2 linked regions of the Arabidopsis thaliana genome follow. The protein of the gene in region 1 purifies or fractionates together with the protein of each later gene. This does not show direct contact. Each region holds a gene or a part of one and is shown on either strand. Other genes may lie near its edges.

Region 1 (4,317 bases):
GTGTTATAAATGTGCAACCATCCCATATCAGTTATGCTGGAAATATGATGAGCATCCTCTCTCTCTTTGCTATGAAGATAGCACTAGCACAGATGAAATCTACTGGTGCGAAATATGTGAAGAAAAAATAGATACGACAACATGGTTCTACACTTGCAACATATGTTGCACCACTATCCACCATCTATGCGTGTTTTGACTCCTCTGCTTACATAAAGTGTGGTTCCACATTCAGTTGCGATGACCTAAAAGGGGAAGTTGTTCGTAACAGTAGCCAGAGTCGATTAATTTGCAAATTATGTGGCCTGTGTTGCCGAGGTTACATATACCTCAAGTTTCCTAAGTTGAATTTTTGTTCTATGTCTTGTTTAGACGGTGCCGAATCATTTCTTGATATACTGATGGGTATGGAAACAGAGGAAAATGTTATGGCAACTGGGAACGGTGTAACTGCTAAAGATGAAACTATGTCTTTGATATGGACATCAAAATCCCTTTAAATTCAATAACTATGTCCATCCTCCTTATTTTTTGCTTCTGTTCTACCATCTGTTTCCGTCTCTCTACAATTGAACAAGTACATGTATTTTTTGCGATTTTTCTTTCGTAAATTTTGTTTTCCTTGATGCCCGTAATAGAGTCTTGTCAACTATACAAAACAAACCAGCCACAAGAGTAAAAGACAGTAAACTGAGACAACAATGGAAGCTATCAAGACCTCCTAGTCACTATCATAAGGGACAAAACTAATATCGCTTGAGAAATCAAACCCAAATGCTTGCAAATGCTTCTTCCAAAGCCCTCCTCTTGCTTATCTCTAAAGAAAATCCTCCAGCTCTCTCTGCTTTCATCCTCCTCGTCGCTTCGTCTTCCATAGCGTAATGTTGACGCTCTGCTCCACCTACTATAGGTACAGGTTGTGGGCCCATTCCCGTTGGTCGTGAAGCCTGACCATATGTAGTTCCAGCCGTGACCCCATGGTTCGACGACTACAAAATGCGTAAACAAGTAAAGAGATTTCAGCTTCGTCAGGAAACTTCATCTGCTTGTTGATATGAAAATTAAAACCCAATTTACCGTGTCAGCATCTGTCTGTGGGGGTTTGGCCTTGCAAGCTGCCAAGGCTGCAGTCAATTCTTCTGCCTGTTGGAGCAAATTGTAAATACACCAAAAGCAATTTGCACAGTGATATCATATAACCAAACATGCTTTTAATCTTCTTTCTTTTCCTCTACTCATTCATCTAACCAAGATAAGAAAAAGTAAGGCTAACGTAGGCCCTACCTTACGAGCTCTATTAATCATTATCTGTTCAGCATTCTCCTTAGAATATCTCTTAATCTTCTGCTCAATCGCCTCGACATTGATTCCATCTATCAAGTCGAATACTGGTGGAATAGAAGGTAATATATACATTGGTCTTGTCTTGCATGAATAGAGAAAATAAGGAGCACAAGTGAAACTAACCCATGCACTCCACTTCTTCCAAGTAGTCATTGTAGTCTTTAAGTGATGGAAACTCCTCTTCCCGTCTATTGTATCTGCATCACCAGAAAGAAAGAAAAAAAAACATGATACTCAAGAGGCTGAAAATACTCTGCTTCTACAGAATGAAAAAATTGATACCTTAATATAAATCTATATCTCATCTGTTAGAAACTGTGACTAAAGATCTCCATTTTATGCTAAGGTATGCTAGGAAACAATGGAGCATCTCACTGGGTCCATAGATGGGAGAATTGCTTCATTAAGTGTATGCAGTGAACAAAGTATTTTCTATAAAAATGATCAGATGTGAAATTTAGCGCTATACATGCTAAGAGTCTATACTGATCAATACGCAGTAGATTGATCAAGGGGTTTAAATATCACACCATTTGCACAGGCAAGCATGATATGCAACGAGAGAAAAAGATCAGAACGAAGAATACATCTCAGAGATTCTCCTTCTGACATGTATTTCCTTATTTTGATGGGTAGAATTAGACACCATCACCATGGTTGCTTCTGCCTGGGATTCTTGTCCTTTCCTCTACCTACAAGGTTTTAGACGTGATTTCGCAAATAAAGCTGCAGCAAATATTACACAAGTCTTATTTTTACTTTCGGCTATAGAATCTTTAGAGCTGAAAACCATTATCCCAATAGGGAAAAACACATGAACGAGAAGAAACCTACGAAGAAAACAATTCCAGATAGCGAAGAAGATAAATCTGCGGATTTTCCAAGGATTTCTGAGGAACTAAGGAAGCAAGCATAAAGCACAATGTTTATGTAGACTCATGTGTAGGATATGAATTCGACACTGAAGTACAATGTTAAGCAAGCGAGAACAGAAAGTCGCCTAAAACACGATCTGAGGAAAATAGCTAATAGCTATATGCCAATTCTTCTATTCAATAGAATGCTAAAGACCGGAGAGAAGAAAAGTGAGACTCACAGGTAGAAATAAGAAGGTGAAGAGGGACGCGCGAGAGAAGACACTGAGCCCAAACCTGAAACACCCAACCGTCCGAATCCTCATTCAAAACGTCGTAGATCTCATCTTAACCCAAACAAATAAAGGTTAAAAATGAAACCTTTACCTCAGAAATTGCAGATTCCGACCAATTGAAGTTCAATGTTCAACTCAAGACAATTCACTTCCAGAAAAAAAAAAAAAAAAACAGGTTTCTTCAATTTGAACAGACAAAGGAAGAAGAAACCCCTAATTCTTTAAAATATGGGCTTAGGTCTCATGGGCCAAGTCAAGCCCAATGCTTCTGTATAATTTCGTTTAGACCCCCAATACTAGTCTAAATTCTATTTTCTACCCCAGTATTATATCCGTTACCAGATTAATACCCAGTCCTATACATCACAGATCAGACTTCACTTTCTCATTACACAAGAATATGTTGTTGTTATTCAAGGATCGTATGGCTGACAAATGGTAGAAACTTCTTTTATTAGATTCCAAGCAGCAAATGTTTATCCAAACAAACAAACAACCAGAAGAAGAAGAAGCATTGAACGTATCACTTAAAACACTGATTTATTCTCTTTCCCTCTTCTTATTTCAACGGCCTATGTGGAAAGTTTTTGATTGAGAATCCAAATCACACATTACATCAAATCAGAACTCATTATGAGTCACTAACGAGTTCAGACATGTCGCGGCTGATGCTGTTCTCATGTGTGGACAATGGAGTTCCAGATATAAAAGCCTTGAAGAGCGCAAGAGCTTGCTTCGGTCTGTGCAAAGGAACTTCATGGCCTGCACCTCTCACTGTCACAAAGTTCAGACCAGCATACTGCTGACTCCACCCTCCCACCTGTTTCAAATCATGACTGTTTATAAGTTTTTCTTATAACATAAGAAAAGGATTCTCATTTTCTCATCTTGAGTTTTGTTTTGTACCTGTCCATCTAAGTACCAAGGACCATAGGCACTCAAAGGACGAAGGTTTAGTGCATCGATACTGTACCGGGTTGATGTGACTGGTACAACGGCATCTGCGTCCCCACTGTTACCAAAGAACAAAACCTTTTCTTTTTACCACCAAAACGCCAAAACACTTGAAGAAAAGATATCGTTAAAGTGCTTTCAGTGGATATATTTAGAGAAAGAGACCTGAAAACCCAGATACGAAGCCCAGCAGCTATAAGCTCGTGGTAAATGTTTAGAACCGAGGAAGGAGAGTCATTCCAGTGTTCACTCACGACATCACTGCATAACCAAAGCTGTCGGGATCAGAATTGTTACAATACTTAAATAGGCTCATTTCCTCCAAAACCAAGTTTCTAAGATATTGCAAGGCAATTTTACCTGCAAGTATCCCATTTTGATGGTGCAAGTCCTGGTGGGACATGGAGGGCTTTTTGAACCTCTGGAAGATTGAAATAAACTGTAGTGTGTTTCTCCGTACAAGGATCATACTGTTCGCTCACGCGGCTAGTCATCTAAGTAAAATAAACAGAGAAATTAGGACACTAAAGAGTGTAACATTGAAAAGAGAAGTTTTAAGGCCACTTACAGGTCTTTTCTTTAGCAACATATTTGACTGGGAAGCATTGGCAACACAAGCTGGGGTGAAGACACTGTATTGGTCTATGTTACCTATTTCTTTGTCCGCTATCTCCAGAATCTTGTTACACTGTTTGGAGGAGTGAATAAACGATTCGAAACCGCATTGAAGTTGCAGTAAGCTGTATGTTTGGTCAGATATAAAACCCAACGACCAAATATATTGGAAAAGACCAAGCCTGTCATGGAAATCGTCCATCAGCCCATTTCCTACCTGCATCCACACATTCATCAACATTGTTTTAGAGTTT
Region 2 (5,747 bases), on another chromosome or scaffold:
TTATTAGTTGAAAATAATCGTGACAAAAAGTTAGAGGAGAGAAAAAAAAAAAAAAATCTACAAAAAAAAAAAAATCTACAACACAAAATAGGATGTAGAAAATTAAAGATTTACAGTCAAAACAAAAAGATTTTTTTTGGGGCTCTAAGTTAAAGAAAAAAACTATAACATAATTGGCAACAATTTAGTCTTTAACAAATATATTATGGCTGTAAAAGACATTTAGCACAACCAATCAAGCATCTTTACAAGTTTCATTCACAATCCAAATTTTATTTTCGATGGTTTTTGGTTATTTAATACAAATTTTCATTGTTATTATTAGGATTTGATAGTTACCGCTACACTAGTCATATCCATTTGTTTCTGTGTAAGAACAGATGTGGTAGTAACTAGAAAGTATCAAAATGTCTGGAAAAACTTTTGATCATGTAAAAAGTTGATCATTATCGCAAACAAACCATTTTTGACGATTGTTATGTACACCAAAACTTAAAATAAATGGAAGTTTTGTTATAAATTCATTAACATCTTCAGAATAAACAAAACTTATGGCCAATATCATTGTTATACATAATCTGCTCAAATTTACTAGTAAGAACAACAACGGGGAAGAAACTATAAAAGACGAATTTCTCATTCAATAAGATTAAAACTAAACCAAAGTGCAAAGGAAGAATTGCTAATGGCAGTACGAGAAACTCAACCTATGGGTGGCGGTGCCCCGTTTGGTGTATCATTGGAGCTCCTATGGGACTTGTGTTTTGATCTCTTCTCCCGTTTCTTACTCCTGATGAAGATAAATAGAGAAGGGAGTCAATTGCAGAAGCAAAGCTTATGAAATATATATAGTGGTTAAAAGAATTAGTAGAAGAGAGGTTGTTAGTGTACTCGTCATGTGAAGAACTATGTCCTAGACAAGATTTTAGCTTCCGGTTGATATGCTTCATGTCCTTTTCACTTGGGCACTTGTAGTTCTTTACCTGAGATAAGAGAGAGCATCTAGTAAAACTTCCTTTTAGATATGCAAGTTTCATTGTTAAGATAATTATGGAAGTTAGTAAATACCAAATATTCGATGTTATCAAGTAACTTTGTAAGCTCTGAAGTCGTGTGCTCAGAGTTCGGTTGAGAAACAATGTTCTCTAGGTACCTGCACCAAATGCAGTTTAGTTGAAAATACAACCAGTAAAAAGCTTTGCATATACAGAAATTCAAGACCACGAGATTAATATCATGGAAAGATTAAAAGGGTAAATAATCGGGATGGATATAGAATAAGAGAAATAACCTATCAAAGTCAATCACTCCAAGAACCCCATTTGCAATACGTAACGACGCCAATGCCAACTACAAGGGCACACGTTCAAGAGTTGAGAGACAGTACAACAATTTGTGATACTTCTTTTGTTACATATACGCTAAAGAAAAACGAAAAATCCTGAAAGAAGGAACAAGGTGAGTATATATCGATAAGCTATACTACTATATCATAAACATTCATTAATTTCACTTAAATATCAGTCAAAGAGAAAACAAAGCACCAACTTTCATCCTAAATTTATGTCTTGAGTAGCATATTTAAAGCTTTACTGAAATATCCCAAACAATGAGTTTAACCAGATTCTTTGATGGATATTATTCAGTATCTTTAATCTGATAATAAGAGGCTAGGGAGACAAAATAAACTAGCATGCCCACCTGGCCAGGAGGAAAGAGGAGTGGAGCATCTGTGAGCATAACTTTATCGGCTTCTGCTGTCGCCCCTTTGAGCAAACTCTGCAGAATACTTGAAAAGTTATGCCAGTATGAGAAAATAATATTTCAATAAAGCCTGTTAAGTAAATAGACTTACAGCTATGATCACAAACTTACACTAAAATTTACATTTTGATCCCACATTCAGTTACCACATGCTTAAAATCTAGTGAAGATAAAGGAAATATCTGAAGATAGATCTACCTCTAGTTTTTGGATTTCATCATCTCTAGCTTGAAGAAATTCCTATAGGATGAAAAGATGAGGTTACTTTTGAAGATAGCGTGAAGTTCAACAAGGATGAAAAATAACACACCGAAAAAAGTATTGAAAATCTTGGTATATCCTATTATGGTTCACCAAGTTCTTGGCGTTAAGTTAACATTCAGAATTTTGTTTGCAACAAAACAATTGCCAATAAACTGAAAAAGAGTCTCATCACTATAAGATGTAAACAGAGAAAAGCCAGTTGAAATAAGAAAACCTACTAAGAAATTTAGACAGGACTGATTTACCTCCATGTTGTTGACAAAACCTTCGATTGCACGATACGGTGCATAAACAATCAGATCAAATTCCAAACTCTGCACATAGAGTTAATATAATATGAACAAAAGAATAGAGAGAGAAAAGAACACCAGGGAAAAATAAACATAGGGAAGTTGGTACAAATTAATTGACTCATATCATACCTGAAGAACAGCCATCTCGTACTTGAGAATTATTCGGTGATCTTGGTTAATCCCTTTCCCAATTTCCTCAGCAGATACATGATTCTCCTCTATTTTACAAGCTGCATACACACAGGTTAACCTGTTCAATGAAAGGTAACAATTAGTCCAAATTACAACAATGGACCATTTATGACTGACTTAAAAAGCCTCTCAGAGCTCAGAAATACAAAATGCTTAGCTCCATTTGGTAAACAATTTCAAAACTATTCTCTTGAAAAAAGCAAAGCTTTTGACCATTTTGAGGATTTAAAAGAACTATACATTATCTCTTTTGGATGATGTTGCATAACAGACCATTGCAGATAAAATCTCTTAAAGTATTGGAGGGCTGTTGCCTGCAAAATATTAGAAGGAAGAAACATAAATTCAGAGAGCAAACAAAAATCAGGTATTTTATTTTTAACTTCATCATAAACTTCTATCTCGACGAGTAGAAATGCACCTGAATCTTGTGAGGAAATGCAAAGGCACTGCACACTTCTTGGACCTTTGCCTCATAAAATGCTCTCATGAACCTTTCTTCATCAGCACTCAAAGGCTTAAGCTTCTTATCAGCTGAGAGTAACAAAGCAAAAAGTAACATTATTTAAACTTCGACAAACAAAACTATGATACGTATGAAGTAGATATTGAAGGAACCAAAATTTTTACCTTGATCTCCTGAACCAACTTTATCTTTAGGATATGTTAGTGATCCACTAGCATCTACTTCAACTTGAGTTGTTCCACACTATGAATAACAATAAGTTAAAATCTAAACATGAATACAGGACTAAAGCTCCATATCAACAATTATTCTAACAAACCTTCTCCAGCATTTGCACTGCCCTCTGGTTAGCAGCTTTATATCTCTCTGCCTACAATTACAACATTACAGCTTAGTTGCAATACCAATATCTCTACACAACAAGTAAGATAATAACAACAACAACACACATAACTAAGTAACAAAGAGTTCCAAATGCTCGATTAATCCGACTCTCTATGAAGCAATCAAAGCAAAGAAAATCCAAAGATGAACAAAATATAATTATAAAGCCGCATTGTAGTGATCAGAAGGAGAAGGGGATTACCAGTTTCTGGGGAGTGAAAATCCACTTGGCCCGTTGTGTTGATGTCTGAAAATCCGCCATTAACTGAGTTTTCAAAATTTTCGAAATCGAAAAATCTGAGCTTTCGAATTTCTTTGTGGAAAGTTCAGATTTTTGATCGAATTCACACGCTGTTGATGGCGATTATCCGTCTGAATCGGAAGGAGATTCTATAGATATTTCAATTTTGAATTTTAGGGCTTATATTAGAATTTAGGAGAAAAAATTATCTGGTGCTCGATTTGAATGGAGATTGGAATTGGATTGAGTTAGCTACGAGAAGAAGATGTTTTTGGTAATGAGAAGACGAGAATGAGGGAAGAGAGGAGAGCAGACGCAATATCTTGTCGGAATTCAGATGTGAAGACGAGTATGAAGGGAAAAAGAGGAGAGTACGGCAGAGCAATACAGTGTTAATGTCGGAAGTTGCTCATACGGCGAGATCGTTCCTGGCTTTGAGACTTGCGAGGAAGAAGAAACGTTGGTGAAACGACGTTCTTTCATGTTAAACAATAAACCCTAAGGTCAAACGATGTCGTTTAGCAAACATATTTATTATAAACGGTGTCGTTCGCTAACCCATTAAAACCCTTATTAACAGCCCTTTACTAACAAAAAAAAGAACAAGAATTTTCCAACCAAAAATAAGGTCATGGCTTAAATTTATGTTTCCAACCCTTAATAACACCCATACATGTGTCCAATTTATAGAATCTAAGTAAAAGTATAATATAGTGTTAATCAATCATTTTTTGAGTTTGACTCACGATTTTAGTTAGGTCTGGACATTCGGATTTTCGGGTCTGTTTAGATTGGGTTTTTGGGTTACTTTGGTAAAGAGATTGAAAATACATTTAGGAACTGAAAATATCGGTTGAGGTCTATTCGGGTTCGGGCTGGTTCTCAAATTTAATTGAAACCTGATATTGAACCTGAATTTACCGACAAATTATGTATACGTATTATTTCGAGTTACATGTATCCGTTTGAGTTTCGATATTTCAGGTATCTGTTCAGGTTTCAGATCCTACACGAACCAAACCAAAACCCCAAAATAAACACTTTAGATCCACTCGAACCAAAGCGAACTAGGTTTTTCGGGCTTCGGATTTTATGGTCATGCCTAGTTTTGTCCTTTGAAACATTAAAATTAGAAGTAAATCTACATATACATTTTTGCAGCCATTTTAGCAAATAAATTTTGTACTTGTATTTACAATGTCATGCCATTGACATTAAATATTTCCTGTCGATAATTAAATACAAGATATTATATTCAACAATAGTTGCCAAAGATCTTTCAAGATATATAATTGGTATTAATTATTCAGATTTGAAAATTTAAATACTTTATATTGCGCTCAACAAACGTTTCCAAAAATCTTTCCAACTTAAGTAAAAAATAATTATTATTTTTAAATATTATAGATATATTTTAACTTTATAAAACATTATTATTATTTAAACTTATAAAAAAATATCATGAGATGAGAAATATAGCGGGACGGGTTTGGATTGATATGAAATATAGTGGGACGAGTTTGGATTGATATAGCACATGTTAAATATTTATTTTATTATTTTATCATCACCATTTGTTTTAGTTATAACATTAATATAAAATTATAAAACTTAAATACTAAATTAAAAACCGTAAAATTTAATATTATTATATATGAATAAAACATTTGTCCGTGGTACACCACAGGTTAAATCCTAGTTGTTATTAAAGGTATTTCAAACATATCCATTTGGCATTGTTCTAGAATTTTAGTTAAGGAATAGTATATATTTGAGATTTTGTATTAAGGTGGGAATAAATTATTTCAGCCATTAGGATCCAAAATGACCCAAGAAAATAATCACTGAGAAAGAAAGAAAAAAAAAACAGCTCCAAAGTAAAAGGTAACCAAAGTTACAATGAATGATGACAAAAAAAAGTTACAGAATCAATGGTAACTAATTATCAACAGCCTTTGGAGCTGTTCAAATTATTAACTAACTATAAACTAAACTAACCTCTACAATCCAAACAATTAAATCTGATCTCCAAGTGTTATCTTCGATGTCAGGTTAATTACAAAGGACACAAATGTTTCATGACGTTCTTACAAGAGCCATTATTTGAGTCTTGATCAATCCCATACAAGTTTGAATTTCTCTG

Evidence for each region. Proteins that work in one complex are often made in the same cells at the same time.
Region 2: the proteins of AT4G30820 (region 1) and CYCH;1 purify together in Arabidopsis thaliana (affinity purification with mass spectrometry; 2 studies listed by BioGRID, with this or other methods). This does not show direct contact.

What each region holds. Positions count from the first base shown.
Region 1 is NC_003075.7:15,004,826-15,009,142, reverse strand, and holds AT4G30820 (cyclin-dependent kinase-activating kinase assembly factor-related / CDK-activating kinase assembly factor-like protein), read right to left. Parts: upstream 2,650-4,317; 5' UTR 2,586-2,649; exon of another isoform or gene 2,496-2,585; 5' UTR 2,441-2,495; exon of another isoform or gene 2,037-2,440; 5' UTR 2,000-2,036; coding exon of another isoform or gene 1,957-1,999; coding exon 1,932-1,956; exon of another isoform or gene 1,650-1,931; coding exon of another isoform or gene 1,627-1,649; exon of another isoform or gene 1,542-1,626; coding exon 1,285-1,541; intron 1,144-1,284; coding exon 1,078-1,143; intron 990-1,077; coding exon 765-989; 3' UTR 519-764; downstream 1-518. Other genes in the region: scpl29 (serine carboxypeptidase-like 29), read right to left, coding at 3,126-3,314, 3,401-3,506, 3,614-3,709, 3,809-3,942, 4,017-4,280.
Region 2 is NC_003076.8:9,769,640-9,775,386, reverse strand, and holds CYCH;1 (cyclin H;1), read right to left. Parts: upstream 4,085-5,747; 5' UTR 3,626-4,084; coding exon 3,566-3,625; intron 3,350-3,565; coding exon 3,299-3,349; intron 3,223-3,298; coding exon 3,144-3,222; intron 3,048-3,143; coding exon 2,935-3,047; intron 2,828-2,934; coding exon 2,754-2,827; intron 2,572-2,753; coding exon 2,451-2,571; intron 2,343-2,450; coding exon 2,274-2,342; intron 2,005-2,273; coding exon 1,963-2,004; intron 1,780-1,962; coding exon 1,702-1,779; intron 1,351-1,701; coding exon 1,292-1,350; intron 1,154-1,291; coding exon 1,069-1,153; coding exon of another isoform or gene 1,003-1,068; exon of another isoform or gene 984-1,002; coding exon 708-983; coding exon of another isoform or gene 703-707; 3' UTR 512-702; downstream 1-511. Other genes in the region: ALY1 (protein ALWAYS EARLY 1), read right to left, coding at 5,681-5,747. UniProt on the Arabidopsis thaliana protein: Associates with CDK-2 and CDK-3 and activates the CDK kinases.